Linked DNA regions of Oryzias latipes. The main gene of each other region encodes a partner of the protein of the gene in region 2 in a complex. Links are inferred from orthologs where the notes say so. Each region holds a gene or a part of one and is shown on either strand. Other genes may lie near its edges.

What was found. The genes of interacting proteins can lie anywhere in the genome.
Region 1: voltage-dependent L-type calcium channel subunit alpha-1C (region 2) and cacnb2 share a complex: the UniProt entries of both Homo sapiens proteins name them as parts of the calcium channel complex. The link is inferred for Oryzias latipes from reciprocal best matches to the Homo sapiens genes CACNA1C and CACNB2.

What each region holds. Positions count from the first base shown.
Region 1 is NC_019878.2:20,108,718-20,116,671, forward strand, and holds the start of cacnb2 (voltage-dependent L-type calcium channel subunit beta-2), read right to left. Parts: upstream 4,469-7,954; 5' UTR 3,652-4,468; coding exon 3,583-3,651; intron 1,545-3,582; coding exon 1,425-1,544; intron 1-1,424. UniProt on the Homo sapiens protein: Beta subunit of voltage-dependent calcium channels which contributes to the function of the calcium channel by increasing peak calcium current. Plays a role in shifting voltage dependencies of activation and inactivation of the channel.
Region 2 is NC_019881.2:14,483,043-14,491,098, reverse strand, and holds the start of voltage-dependent L-type calcium channel subunit alpha-1C, read right to left. Parts: upstream 4,571-8,056; 5' UTR 2,933-4,570; coding exon 2,809-2,932; intron 662-2,808; coding exon of another isoform or gene 534-661; intron 353-533; coding exon of another isoform or gene 312-352; intron 1-311. Other genes in the region: dcp1b (mRNA-decapping enzyme 1B), read left to right, coding at 312-352, 534-661, 5,434-5,500, 5,613-5,778, 5,941-6,039, 6,431-7,208, 7,985-8,056. UniProt on the Homo sapiens protein: Pore-forming, alpha-1C subunit of the voltage-gated calcium channel that gives rise to L-type calcium currents. Mediates influx of calcium ions into the cytoplasm, and thereby triggers calcium release from the sarcoplasm.

The DNA of each region.
Region 1 (7,954 bases), on a different chromosome or scaffold from region 2:
CAGATATCTTGTAGACCAAAGACACAAATATTAACAGCGTCAGGGTTTTAGGAGATTTTGAGGAAGCCAGTCCTGATTGCATTTCCTGTCCTGCCAAAGCGCGCCTGCCTTGTCATGTGCATGTTTGTTTATGTGCTGCTAATTGTGGCCGAGAGCAGACCAAGTCAGACTTTGCTTTGATAAACTGCAACGTTGAACCCTCAGAGGCCCCCAACCCCTCACATCTACAGCCCTCCTCCACGTGAGAAAGCGACTAAAATAAGCTCTAATATCCTGTGTCTGTTTGTATAACAGACTCCATGAATTTTTAGTTTTAAGTGTGGGGTTTAGACTTTATGGAATCACCTGGTGATGGCAAACAACACTTGATCAACTCTACACAGATACTTTTGAAACATCTCAGAAAAAAAAAACATAGCGCCAGCAGAGTATTAGCCATTCAGGTCAAAGCAGGAAATGCATGAAGATGGGTCAGAAAAAAAGGCTTGTTCCATCTGGAGCATTGCAAGCTGGGAAAAACGCCAACTTCAATTAAATGAGTTAATCATTAATTGAGAAAAAATGTATTCACTCCTCCATAAAAAGGCTAAAAAAACCTTCGCAGGACTGTATGTCCCAGACAGTTACCCCCCAGGTCAGATCCTGCAAAGCTGGGATTAAGTGCTAAGAAGCAGAGTTACACCTCAGCCTCTGACGGCCTCGACTGATTTTTTTCAATCTGCTGTCATATTTATGACATGAAATAATTATCATGTAAACATATAACATATAAAATGAACTTTTTTGAACTTTTAAGTGTAGTATAACCTTAATTCCTCACAACCACATTTTGATCCGTTTACGCATTTCTGATCATTCTTCTAAAAACCTGCGCTCTGAGCACCAGCCCCTCTCAACCCACAAAAACCAGTGGGTTCTCACCTTGTGACGTAGATAAGTGAAGAACAGCCCCTTCCAGGAAGAGTCTCTACTGCCATAACCCCCCCCCCCCCCCCCCCCCCCCCCCCACACACACACACACACTTTCGACTTGGTGCTAGCAGGGATCTGCTAAATGCTTTCCTTTTATATACACAACATGCACATCAGTCTTTGCAAAAGTTCGGATGTTGTTTGATTTCGTGGGCGAAACGCAGACACACCGAGGTCGGCTCTAAGTGGGCGGCACCCACACGGACCGAAAGGCGGAGCCTCAGAGATTCAGTCGTCTTACGTACTGACGCAAAATGAACAATAAAACAACTATTTCATAAAAAATGTGTTCTTTAGTGCGTCAAAGGTAATATATTTTCATATATATGCATATAGTTTACACTGAAAGGCTTAAGAATAGCATGATTTAGGCCCTTTGAAAAACCTCCAGTATGTTTGTACTTAGTGAAAGGCAGCAGAATAGTTATCAAATTGTGAAAGATGATACCAACCTTGGCCTTCTCAATTTGTGACTGAGCCTGTCGCTCTGCCTCTCTGCGAACTGCCTCCTTATCTTCTTCAAGGGACACATCGGAGTCTGATGGACGGCTGGTGTAGGAGTCGGCCGAACCCTTCAGACCCACAAACAGAAGCTTGTTAGTGACACTCAAACTCAGCTTCACATGGCTAAAAATACAACCTGTTAGAGGAAACAACTTGATAAATAACACAACTTACAGGTGTGGAAACAGATGTCAATGGTAAATAATCAAATACGCTTTAAATGTGTCCCATAATAAATCTATAATCAGTCAATATCCATATATAAGAAGAAAACCCTGACAAAAATGTCTTTTTTTCTTAGATACGTTTATGAAATTAGGGTATAGTTGCCAAATTATTGAACCGATTGAATTTGATTTGCACGTTTGTGATTCAGCTTTCTTTTTGGTTTGATTAAATAACAACTTTTTAACTGTCAAATAAAAAAACAAATATGGTGATGTAAAATGAAACTCACTGATAAATGTTGAATTTCCTTCAGAAAAAGCTACTAAAAATAGTCTCCATTAAAAAGAAACTCATTTAAAAATAATTTCAATTCAAGGATTTAATTTATTTAAGAGTCTGGCAAAAAATAAAATAATACGATGCCCTTCACATCATAGGATTTTTGGAACCTTTTTGATTTTCTTTGGCTTGCTTTATTCTGGTCTGCACAGTTTAGCCCAATGAGAGAATGACACAGAAGCCAAAGAAGGTTCTGAAACAGACCAGTTCAGTTTGGATCCAAGCAACAAGAACAACTTTTAATATCCAGACTCATAGAAACATGAACACTCAGGAGCTCTGATTGACATTGATGTATAACATAAACACATAGGTCAAATACAGAAAGCTGACAGTTACAAGACTAAAAAATTATAAATTAATAAAAGGATTATAAATGGATGCCAATAATAAAGAGATTCTGCATAAAGATTTGACTAAAGCCAGTTCATAACCCCAGATGTTGACCATAATTATCAGAGTAAGCTGGATTCATTTGAAGGTCATAATTAGATTCACAGTCTGACATGATTTTATCAATCTATTATTTTCTAGATAAAGTCATTTTTTACTTATACTTACAATACCATCAAAAAAAACAAAATAAAATGAAAGCAACCAAAATGAAATTGTGAATTCTAACATTGAAACTATCATTTGGGTTTTTTCCCTTAAAAAAAGGAAAAATAAGTTTGTAAACTTAATAAAAACACATGGAAAATTAATATTTATATTTAAAAAAAAAGATATTGTGCAGATTTCAGAAGCCCCAATAATGCAAATAGGACAAATGTTGTGTTCAATAAATGAACACAACATTTTGATGAAATCCAGTATTTGTCTTCTTTTTACCTGCACTCTACTATGCCTCTTTCACAGAGTCTTCATTCATTTCTCTGCATCAGAACCCTCTGATGTCTGAGTTAAAAATAGCCACACTCTGCGCCTGATTAGAATTACCCAACCATCGCATACGTACGAAGGAGAGTCGCACCGCTCCTTCCTCAGCCCCACTTATGTATAGAAACAAAAAGAAAACAAAAAGATAATGTTGCCGGGGATGAAGCTAATCTATTCATGTACCCACCATCTCCATCAAAAACTTGTTGCACACTCATTTCCAATTAATAAAGAGACAAATGATACAGTTAGGAGGTTTATTATTAATGCAAGGGCTTTGTTGTCTGTAAATATCAAGGCCATCTTCTCATTGGCTTTAACATACATCCCAGCAGAATTCTTCAAGGTTGCAGCAGCACCTTCACAGCTCCACACCATTTGTGATGGACTGCAAATGTTTCTCCTTTCTCGAGAGTCCTATTGGGCTTTAAAAAAACGCTGTTTGGAACACCTGGACAACTATTATTATTCCATCACGTCACAGTTAAAGATGAGGTGCAACAGGAGCGCTGTTCTAGAGAGTCAGATGGAGGTTATGTGGAGCTCTGCCCAGAAGCTGACAGCTAAAAATGATTGCTGCATCTAAATTCTCTTCATTGCACGGTAATACACAACTGTGGAACTCGACATTATGTATGGATGGCGGAAGCACGGGGTGGATGCATTAAAGGCGAGAGCATGCACATGTGTAAATGTAAACACACTCAGAAATGGCCTTACACAGGCGTCGGAGCTCTTGACTCGACCTCCTTTGGCTCGTTTCAGCAAGCGAATCCAGGTGGCCTTCATCAGCCACACTGGTCATTCAGTGTCCTGAGCCACTGTCCCCCCTACCCTGACAACCACTGCTGAACGCCAGCACTGCTGGGGCCACCTTTGCACCAGTGCTGCAGAGACCGGGGCTGCAGGTACATTCAGCACAGCTGGTTCCTCTTACAACTTGGCCGGAAAGTCTACATTCAACGCTGGATAGTAAATAAATAGCTTTGGAGTCTGAGCTCCTTGTTCTGCTGCAGCTCCCCCTGACTTTGTCTCTGTCTGCTGAGCCAAAGCTCCTGCTCCCCCGACTGCAGCTGCTGCTTTTGCCAAAGATGGGGAATCCTCTGGAGCTCTCTGCCCTGCGCATAATCTCAGCAGCTCTCTCCTCCGTCTGCCCCAGTCTCCTTGACAGCTGGAGTGCTCAGTCTGCCACTGCAGGTGCTGAGGCGGACTCCCAGTCAGGTGATGCTCCTCATCCTCCCCGTCAAGCCCTCGCTCCAGCTTTGTAGTCCGCTTCTGCAGCCGATTCCCCACGACTCTCTGCGAGCGGCATGTAAGGGTTTATCGGTGAGAGTCGCGGTGTGGCGGCGTGTGACGGACTCTACTCCTGAAGCCGCTGCTGCCGAAAGCCTTTTAGCCTGTCAGTGTTTTCACACAAGCTCTGCTGAGCTCCTTCGGTGCTTCTGCCTCCCTATCTCTCTTCCATCCACATCTCCTCCTCTGTACCTCCCCTTTTCTTTTTCTTTTTTTCCTTGAGTTACACCTCACAGCCAGTCCATCTGCTCATTTTTGTCTCTGCGGCAATCATTTCTGGACGGTGCGCGTGCCAGGAATACTGTTCAAACTTAGGGCTGCAGTCAGATATCAAACACTGAAGCTTCTTTTTTTTAAATCAACACCAATGTTGCATACAAAAATGACTCTAAATGCAGCAGTCACAGTAAAAGACAGATATAAATTTTTAAGTTTTGTAGACAACATTTTAACATTTTTGTATAGATATTTAAAACATACACATTTAGAAGTAAGAACTAAAGGTATAAATGTATTCAAAAGTTGCAGTGTCATACATTTTCACAAATTTCTTACACATGAAAACAGGGTTCGATATGGGCTTTTGGCAAAAAGATTAGAAATAAATCCTAAATTCTTAATTAGATGTGAGCAAACACTCCTAAAAACGTTTCATTTTAAATGAAAAGCTGTTCTCAACTGATCCTCCTAGTAAAATAAAGGTTAAATAGAGTAAATAAAATTGAAACTGAGGTGGAACACTGCAGAGGAGTTATAATGAGTACCTCTATCCCCCATTTTTTAAAAGTTATTTGGGTTCAGCTGGTTCAAATGATGTTCCTCCTGAAATGAAAGGCTGTCTTTAAGTCCAAAAAAGGCAATAGTCACAGATATTTAATCAATGAAGTCTCAAAAAGATACAATACATCCAACTGGGAGAGAAGAATGAGATCTGAGTTCTATCTAAAGTAGACAAATACCCAATAACACCCAAGATAGTTTATATAAAAAAAGTGATGTATACTTTGAAGATATATTGATTCTCTGATAGGACACAGATGCTCCAAAAAAAAAAAAAAAAAAAAAAAGCAGAGACAGAAAAAGCCACAGGCTGTCAGACAGCACTGAACCGCACACAGACAGTGTTGTGTCATTCACACAAACATCATCTCATATTGGTATAAACCACTTTTTTAAAAAAACAACCTCATTTTTCAGCTTTTCCCAGCTCACAAATCCATTTAAATGTTGCTGAAAGTAATGTCCTGTTTAAAGAAGCCTTATCAAATTTGACTCTTGGAAACCTTGACAGTCACAAGGAACTCCTCCCGCTAACCACTTTAATGTCACGTGACCCAAATTACATAAGATTCGGAAAAAAGATGGAAATCAGCAAACGCAGGGCTTACTGAACCTCTCATGGGTGTGGCTCTTTGCGTGCAGCATCCCTTTGCGGCCGCAAAAACATCCCTGCAGTCGTCTGTTGACCTCTTGGAACAATAAACCAAACTGCATTTGTGATTTTGGGTAAAATGTAAAAAAGGACGTGAAGCTGTGTCACTTGGGTGTTTGTAGCTGAAAACCTGTGTGCCATCATGACTTCACTCTCTTACTCCTGCTGATCATCAGCAGCTATCCTTCTTACATAATTTGTGCAGGAAACCCCAGTTCAGACAATTAGGATGACAAAAGTGGCAGGCCGATTGGACCCAAACTGGATTCTGCAACAGGGATTCATGGCTATGGTTGACGGGAGTCACTTTTATTTATTTGGTAGAGACATGATGGAATTGATCACTTTCAGCAGCTGGTTCTAATTCTGTAGGTTTATTCAGGCCAGAATATTTCAGCTGGTTCGTTTACAGGCTTGTTAATATAATAAATCAACACCCACACCTTCACATTGTTAGGTTTTTTGCTCCATTTTTTTTCTAAGCTTTGATTTTTTTTATTTCACTTTGCTCATCTCTCTTCACTTAACTTCCGCTCTTTTGATTAGGCTGCATTCACACAGAAAGTGAACAAAGCCAGAGTTTACTTGAGAGCACAACCTGACCCCCACGCTTTGAGACCGAGGTCTGGTCTAAATCAGCATTCAGATGTGCATTTTGATCCGCCTCTTCTAATAAAACTGTTTGCATCTTCATGCAGGATAAAGTGGTTTCATTATTCAGAGATTTTTACTTGACATACTCTTTTCAGCTTTGGAATTCAATCAAATCCCTCTGTTATCTTCCTCTACAGCAAAATAATGAATCGCATAAAAACTGAGGTTCATGTTTTCCTCAACAACAAACGCTTTATCATGTTGGACTACCATCACTAGATAATATGCTTTGATATGAAGGTGCTACAAGATAAGAAGTTACACCAACAAAAGATTCAAAGGATGGATTTGTCATCACAGTGTACAACAATATAATACATTCTGACCTTACTTTAAAACCCATAGCACAAGAAAAGCAAGAACTAAAAGATTCCAGAACGGTTTTTACCCCACTGCATCAAATATCGTAAACATGACTTAAAAAACCTAAATAAAATTCAATCTGGACCTGCTTGAACTGTGCAATGGTGGATCAGGGGTCACCACTCCAAATCAGCTTCCTCCATCTAACCCTGTCTTCTGCATCCTCCAACACCAGCTACCTTTATGTCTTTGTTCACTGCATCCATAAACCTCCTCTTTGGTCTTTGGTCACATCTGGACATGTCCGAACCATCTCAGTCACACTTTATCTCCAAAAACCTCTAACATGTGTGCATCCGGCATTTATCCGGGTCACTCCCAAAGAGACCCTAAGCATCTTCATCTCTGCTACCTCCAGCTTTTTGTCTTTTCCTCAGAGCCACTGTCAGGCCTAACAACATGGATGGTCTCACCCAACCCTGATTGTCCACATTCATGTTGCTTTGTGAAAAACCACAACTTACACCATGTTTGGTCATTAATGCAATACAGTAAAGTGCCAAACAATCTGCAACCGTTGCAGCAGTTTTGTGCAAACATCACAGCTTCGTGATGCACACAGCAGACAACTTAACCACTCCATCACCCAAAAAAGAACATACATGACGTGACTCCAACAGTGAACAGGTTAAAGCGTTTCAGCCTCAGTAATCGTTTTCCATACTCTGGTTACCAATACAAGGCACATTAAGACTCACTGCAGGAACTAAGGAACTCCCTGGAGATCAGCACACTTTCAAGGGGTTTTTCTCAGCTGTTGCACCACAGACAGCATCTCTGAAGTATTGCAGCAGCAAGCTGGTGGGTGGTAGTTAAAGTGAACTGACAGTCTTATCTATTGCATCATTTCTCACTCTGTTCCTGTTCATCCTATTTTTTAAATGTTAAGAGTCCATAGACCAACAACCTTTCTGCAGGTAACAGCGCCTGTGTTGAGGACTACTTAAAGACTGGGCTGGGGGACTTCCACAGTATTTTCTTTCTTCTGACTATAGCTGTGGGAAGAAACAGATATTTAAGTTTTCTGCAAAAGCATAGATCCAAACTTTACCTAAAAATGTATGTTTGTAAATGAATTACACTTAACATTTTTAATAGCTTTTTTTTTTTAGAAGTGAAAAATAAAAATAGATATTTAAAGATTTTCACCAAAATTGTGGTCTAGAGGTTTAGCGGTCGCTCTCTGATTGGAGGATTACTGGTTCGGTTCCCACCCTGCCCTCTCAGGCAAGACACCAAACACCACTTTGCTCATGATGGTTCTAGGTTGGCGCCTGTGTTAGGCAGCAGTGTGTTAGTGTGTTTGTGCAAGGGTGAATGAGACTGGGACTGTAAAGCACTTTGGGCCTT
Region 2 (8,056 bases):
TCAAATTACAGCGTTTTCGTTCTAGTATTACTGAGTTAAGTTAAAAGTGATTGCTTTGAAGTTGATTTTTGAAAACAAAAACAAAATTGAAGTTATAGATCATTTTTTAACTACTAGTATAGAGTTTTACCACATCACGAGACTACACACTAATTTACTCAAGCACACTGGTACAATTTCCATCCTCATACTTTGTACTGCTTTATTTAGCTTTGTTTACAAAGTAGCAACCTAGGATGTTTAATAAAAAACAGAATTAAAATACACATTTGTCCCCCACTTTTTTTGACGTGATTGTTGTTACTTTTCAGGAGAAGACGGAAGTTGAAGGCACTCTTTTTATTTACACAAGGTAAAGAAAAGACCTAAAGTCTGTGATTAGGGTTTATTTGAGGTCATCCATTGCATTCAATTATTTTATTTTTATTTTAATATCAATTAGGGAGATAATGTACCACTGTGTGTAATACCTTGTTTTTTCCTGAGTTTTGATAGTTATTATTTTTGTCATTTTGCATGCTGTTTTAATTCAGATTGGCATCTCCAAGACACGGATTTACCATTATGAACCGTCTCAGCATGGACAATCTGACAGAGCCGATCACAAAAGACTTGGACTTTCAGCTTCAGGACCCTTTCCTGCTTTATCGCAACGCACGATGTAAGTCAGAATATATAAAAATAGCCCACAGATTTCCAGTTTCTGTCCTATTCTTTCAGCGTTTGCTGTGCATGACAGTCTTAAATACAATGCAAGCTGCTGCATTACATATTTTAGTTATTGCTGTGACCCTCTTCCTCTGGAGTTTATTGCATAAACAGATGCATATTATTAAAATCCTAATATATGAATAATAATAGCAATTAATTAATGGTTGTTTACATGTGTTTCAGTATATTTATTTTCTTAGCATAGGTCAGTTCGGGCCCACATAACCAAAGATCATAGTTAGATTTTTATGGGTTTTTTTTATGGACCTAAAATGTTTTACTAAGCCATAATTACTATGTTTATTTCTTTTGAATAGCACACAAAAGTGCAGGGTATTAGAAATGCTAAAAGAATGACATATCTTCAAAAAAAATGTTGTTGCGTCAAACGCAGCCGTATTTTTATGACTAAAACATTATTTTGACATCAAATAAGATAGGAAGGACCACGTTAGTGACTGGTGGATGAATCGGTGACTCCATTTAAGGTGTTTCAGCAGAGTTATTTCAGTTTGTTTTATCACCAACTCTCTGAGACCTGCATCGGGCGCTCTCACACACAATCACATTCTAAAGTGTGCCTGTGGGACAAGAGTCTGACAGCACCACAAAAGCAGCCAGCTGAGATTAGATACACTTCCACAGTCACTGATAATCTAAACACACGCTAGCTTAGAAGTAGCTGACGAGCACAGAGAAGGCTCCTGTCGTCTTGGCCTCCCCGTCATATACAATGACATGCAGCCGGATCTTTGTACTGAAAGAAATTGTTTGGTTTATTCATTTTTGTTATTTTACATTTACTTGGAACATGGTGAAACAGAAAGCACAATATTTAGACTTTCTATTCAGAAGCTAACAAACACAAAATAGCCGGTTTGCGGTAGGAGCATCTGCAACAAGGAACAGATTTGAACCGACTCGCTTGTGGGAAGCACGAAGCGTAAAAACACTTGAAACCAGTAATCAGGTTACAGCTGATTAGTGTGTCTGCTGTTACAATGAACAGATTAGATTGGTTTATGTAAGTAAATGAATGGTGGGTTCAAAGCAAACGTTATGGTCAAGCATAATGTTAGTTTGCTCTGATTGCTCTGGTTTAAGATGAATAATAAAAGAGCTCAAAAGTAGACATGAGTAATGGTTGTTATCAGACTGATTTTTATCAGTGTGTCTCCTAGGATTTAGAGGAACTGTTTGGCTTCAAAGAGACTCTTTGCGTTTGTAGATGTGACACTGTAGAACCAAATTTACAGAGCGGCCATAAGCTAATGTACATAAGAGGATAAAAAGAAAGATCAAGTGAGACCCATCAAAAGTAATACCCCCTACCCTATAATAGCTGCTCAAACTAATGTTTACCAAATTTCTACATAGATGACATAACGAAAGAACACTTTTAGTAGACAGAAAACGTGGTTTTATTGGAGAAAATGTGATTTATAGCTTGCTGGCATTAGTGTGCCAGTGCATTGTGACCTCTTGGTGGAGGGGTCGTGGAATCTTATCATTAGATAAACATGTCGGCCTAAGTGCTGCCGCAACTTCCTGGAACGGTGGTTGGCACAAAGTGGCAGCCCGGGCTAAAAATGAACTGCGTGGATAGGTCACAGAACAAAAATGTTTGGACAGAACAAAATGCTATTTTTCCAGCCTGAAGCCTTCAAGTTTAATTTTTTTTATAAGTCTTTACAGCTGTTTTTTTTTTTTTAGTCACACCAATATTCTAAAAAAAAATTAGTCTTTCAGCTCTCAATTTCAGTATACAGTATTTTTTTTTCCACGGATCTGTCTTATTTTCTTTTAATGTTTCTGTTCAGTGTTTTTTTTTATTTTCTAAGAATATAAAGAAATATATAAAGAAATAAAAATAAATGTCTCACATGAACATTTTTGACAGTATTGATGTTTTTCAGCAGAAATTACTTGAATTCTTTTCTCTAAATCTAAAATTGATATGCAGCATTGTTTAGTTTCTGGTTATTCTGTTGGTCATTTTATTTATATTTTGTGTTATCAGCTGCACCTTCACGCATATGTAGATCTGAGCCGACACATCCTGAGACCATTTTTAATGTGTTGTCTGTAGATTCTTACCTCCAGGTCGGACGTATGTATATCCCAGGTCTCTCTCTGACACCAACAAGCCCTTAAATCGGACTTCAGGTTCCTCCTTCAGCCTCTCATGTTTCGGTTTTCTCTGAAACAGACCTCTAATCATGGTTTCTGTCTTTCTCCACTTGCATAGAAATAATCTTGAATTAAAAGAATCCACAAAGTCCTCCTGCAGGTTCGATAAAACAAAAGTGTTTCTTCTTCAGAAGAAGGTGGTGCAGGATTGGTTTAGTCAGCCACAGGAACGGTGGTGCTCCCTCCTTTCATTTGAACCTGAGAGGCAGCCGAGATGCCTGCATTCCAGCCGAAGATGCAAAATCGACACAATAATCTCGTCTTTCCTCCGAAGTTTCAGAAGCCGTACATGTCAGTGTCTACTCCTCCCACATTGTCATGATTCCATTCCTCCAAACACAGTTAGTGTGTTTCATGTAAGGAAAGCTCTATAAGGATGTGTTTTAACTATTAGAACAGTCTAACCTCCACCAGGAAACAGTGAGAATGAAATGATAGTGGTCATCATGACAAATAGTTGAACATTTAATCAAAAACGTGACCTCATAATGCAGCCATAAACTGTCTCTGGCAACATTAGTCCTTCAAAAATGTAAGTTATAGTAAGTTTAAGCGGAATAAAAGTCTTAAATTTATCTTAAGGTTCCCTTTGTGTTGCAGCTCAACACAACCACCGTGTTGCTAAATCCCATCTAAACGTGCTTTTTCAGATACATACAGATAAACACGCAAGTCCCGTGACTTTTACTGTAGAGGAGTCATCACATATGCTCACTGTTTTGATTAAGTCCGTGTCCCGAAGGCTTTAAGGAGCGGATCTCGCAATCACAGAGTTTTGCTCCAACTTTGAAGTACAATCTCTGGTGTTATTAGTTAAACACTGCCGCTAATTTACTCTTCCTGGTTTCTCATTCGGGTGGATTTGGTTCTTGGCTCCAGATTTTAAATACTCCTCTTTCTTTTTCTTCGTTCTCTTCAGTGTCCAGTGAGTAGAATGTATCCCCCCGCCTCCTCTTTTTCCTTCTGCTCAGATTTTGGTACTGGTGGTTCCTTTTCCCGCCCTCCTGTGTCAATTTTGCTCTTTTCAGCCTTTTTTGTGCTCAGAAAGCCACCGTAGCTGTTTATCTTTAGTCAAAAGCATTTTCTGCGATTTTTCAATCGTGTCCTCTTTACTTTTGACCAGTCTGTTTGTTAGTTTATAGCTGAGGTGTTGCAGGACATGATCCTGCTTCAGACATGTCACAGTGTAGTCGTGTTTTTAGAATTCATTACATGGAGATTTTAGAACGACGTGTTCCTTTTCTGAAGGACTAACACACCTGGTAAAACTTCCTTGTTTCTCTCTCAGCGTCTTGCTCATTTTTGTTTTCTATTTTCCGGCTCCCTGACTTCGACTGTGTTTCTCTGTCCCCTGTGAGCACTCAGTTGCTCCCACTCCACCAGTCAGTCCCCCTCTGCAGTTGCTTATTTGGTCCCGGGCTGATTTTTTCCCATGCTCAACTTAACTCTGTGTGTGTGTCTCTGCCTCCCCCCGCTGTCTGTTTCCTTCATCCACAGTGACCTCTGCGGTCGGTCGGTCTGTCTGTGGGAGAATATGGGCTGTCTGTGAAGCTCTCGCTTGAAAAGTTCTTCTGTTTCCTGTTTAATGCTGCATCGTATACAAGTTTAGAATGAGTTTAGAAAGTATATTAGCCTCTTGTGACCTTGCGTCCACATACGATGACATCACATTGTGGGTTTTATTTTCACTGTAGTTCATTCTGATTACCTGTGGGCCCGTGGCTACGAAATAAAAAAAGCTATCAAACAAGAGCTCGGGTCTAAAGAGGTTAAGATGTCAAATATTCTTTTTTCATCTCAGTGTCGGATTAAAGTTATTTCAAGTATCTTTCATTTTTTCTAAACTTGTAATTCTTTCCTTCTGTTTAAGTTTTCTAACATTTTACTCATAAACTCTTATTTTTCTTAAAGGTTTTTAACATTCAAAAGGCAGAATTTCCTTGTAAAAGTTCAATAAATGTTATATGAATGGAACTTATTAAGGGGTAAAAAGCAAATTACTATTTTCCTCACAGATGTTTTTATTTCATGCTGATCATTTTAATTTACACTAGGAAATAAAATAAAATAATTTTGATTTGCTAGCTGTCTTACTAGCTCTCTGATGTGCAGAATTCACATTTTTCCACATGCTCACTGAACATGTTTATGAAGCTAAGGCGCTTTCAGAGGCACATGTTCAAACGTCCAATGGGACTACAGGCTTCTTTCCACTTGATATGGAAACAGAATGATTTCTTCAGCAATGCTAATAGTTACATATCTGATGTCTGTTTAAATGTCACAGCATCAAAATTCAACTTTTGAAAATCTGCTTTGATTTGATTTGGTTGTAGCGGAAATGCTGCATCCATAAGCTCATTCTGCTGTCTGCTGACCTTTTTGTAAAATTGCATTTAAGAAAAAAACAGCTGGTCTGTTAACATGTTTTTGTTTTGTTTTTTGGCTGTGACTGTTCTTTTATTAGTTTTCTTTTTTTTAGTATAATATTAATTCAGAAATATAAGTCTCTTTTCTGTTTTGTCCTTTCAGTGGTTATTCATGGGATTTGGTTCTATGATAAGGAAGACTGTCAACGTGTTGCCCAGAGGATGAAGATGTAAGTAGTTTTGTGTTTAACGTGTTAATCTTTAGCAAAGCTGAAATTGTGTCGTGTTAAAAGAAATAAATATTTAAATGTAGTGATTTTTTTTTTTTTTGCGTCCTTCCAGTCTGACCCATCAGGAGCAGCTCCTGGCTCATAACCAGGATGGGTGGTTGTCACCAGGAAGAGGAAGAGAAGGAATAATAGGAGCTGGAAAAGGAGGAGGAAGCAGTAAAACAAAGCCAGTCGACATCATCCAGATGTTGACCAAAGCGCGCAGCGAATTCGACAAAGTATGCTACCTTCAAAGACTGAAAGATTATCAAACGAAACATCAGTTATCAGTACATTTTTGTCAAATAGATCAACAAAATGTTTCGCTTTGTTCATTTCTTTGTTGTAGTTTTTCTTCAAAATAAAAGAGCATGTACAGTATTTCCTCTTTGTTTTCTCAGGAAAAACCTCCCTCAGAACCAAAAGAGATTGGTGGGAGCAGTGTCCTTTTTGGAAACCCCAACCTCATCAAACCAATACCCGTTAAACCACACACTCAGGTATGATTACGTTTAGATTCTGTGTCTGAGTTCCAGTTTTTGCTTAAAACATTTTTTTTTTATGTAGCTTTTGGTCAGCTTTTATTCAGTGAAATACCTTATTTTTGTTTGGTTTCTCTAACTGACATCCATTACTTATTATATAATATTATATAATATAATATAATATAATATTATATTATATTATATTATATTATATAATATAATATTATATAATATTATATTATATTATATTATATTATATTATATTATATTATATTATATTATATTATATTATATTATATTATATTATATTATATTATATTATATTATATTATATTATATTATATTATATTATATTATATTATATTATATTATATTATATTACACATTTCCTTTTGTTTAAATCTAGAGCAGTGAGGGTTCTGAGCCCAAGGCTCTTTCTTTGGCGACCCTGTTTGGATCTCAGCATCACACACCGCACTCCTCTATATCTGCTCCCCCTCCTGCTGGGAGGGCTGCCACAACCACAGGAAAAGTCTCTCGCCCCCCGGTGGCTCGCACTTTGACCTACGACGATGCGGTCACCTCAGCTGTTGGACACATTGCTCTTGCCGGGGGCTCAGATGGAGATGTCAGGCCACTACCTGGTGAAGAGAGTGGAAACGTTGTAGCTGTTCTGCTCAGTCCCTCCCCCTCCACTCAACCTCTGCAGAACGAACCCCAACACTGCCCGGCCATTGCAAAGCTGATGCAGGGCCAGAGGAGTGTTGGAGGCGGCCTGCAAACCGTCTCTGAGTCCCCGGAGAACCGACTGTGTGATAATGGGGTGCCCCTGGACCAACACCACCACCTGTATCATCATCACCATCAGCAGCACCACCACCATCATCATCATCACCAGCAGCAGCAGCAGCTTCACCATGATCCAATAAAGAAGCTTTTTCAAAGTCATTCACTTCCTCAACTGGCCACCACCTTTTCCTCCGCTGTCCGGCCCACCGCTTGTTGCTCCAATCCACCCCCTCTTCAGGCTCACTCTCACCTCTCCCCCCATTTTGTAGCAGGAGAGTCTGCCTCGTGCCCCCACCTTCAAGTACAGCAAAGCCAGCAGCTGTTTTTCAGACTTCCAGAGTCCCAAACAGAAGAACAGCACAGCAGCCAAACAGCAGCAGCTTCACTGGGAACAGGTGAGAAATGGTTTCTGCCGCATCACATAAACAAAAGCACGACATCCCAACATGTAAAACGAATTTACGTATATAGTAAACCCATTTTAAAACAAATTTAATACTTAATAGTTGGAGCAAATTTATAAAAATGAGATCACCTTTACTGACAAGGATTATTATTCTACTTTCAAAATGTTAATTCATCAATGTTTTAAGCAACAAACACTCCAGGTGTTTGATGCCAATTCAAGAACGAGTTAAATGGGGCTTCTTCAACACATTTAGCCCACGGTGTTCACGCTGAACAATCAGGGAGGGACTTCTTCTTTTTCTTCTTTTTTTCTTTTTGTTCCATTTACTAGTGCATGTCCGGACTCCAACTGTCATTATTCATTTCTCATGATCAGTTTTTCAAACCGTGGGCACCTCAATGAATTATAAGGGTCTCCATCCATACAGAGTCCCTGATTGGTCAAAGTTCGACCTGGTTTTACTTGCAAGATGCATTCAGTAGCCACGTACATAAAGCCTAAAATTGGTCGTGACAACTTGTGAAGCTTCGTGTGAACGCAAGAGTTTGCACATTTACATAGACTGTTCATTTAAAGTGGCTGCTTGAATGTTAGTGCTGAGGCCGATGTGAACCCAAGACCTTAACTGTCGGCTTCAGTTTCAGTTTTCAACGGAATGATGTAAAAGATTAGATTTAAACAATTATTTAATCATAGAGACAAGTTTCTTTTGCGCGTTTTAAAAGTATCTTTTATATATAAGTTCTGGCTCTGTTTTGTCAGGTCTGCCATCCCAGTTGCAGGGAGTGGTTTCACCTCATGAACTCCTCCAGAAGCTGCAGTTGGTCCAGCAAG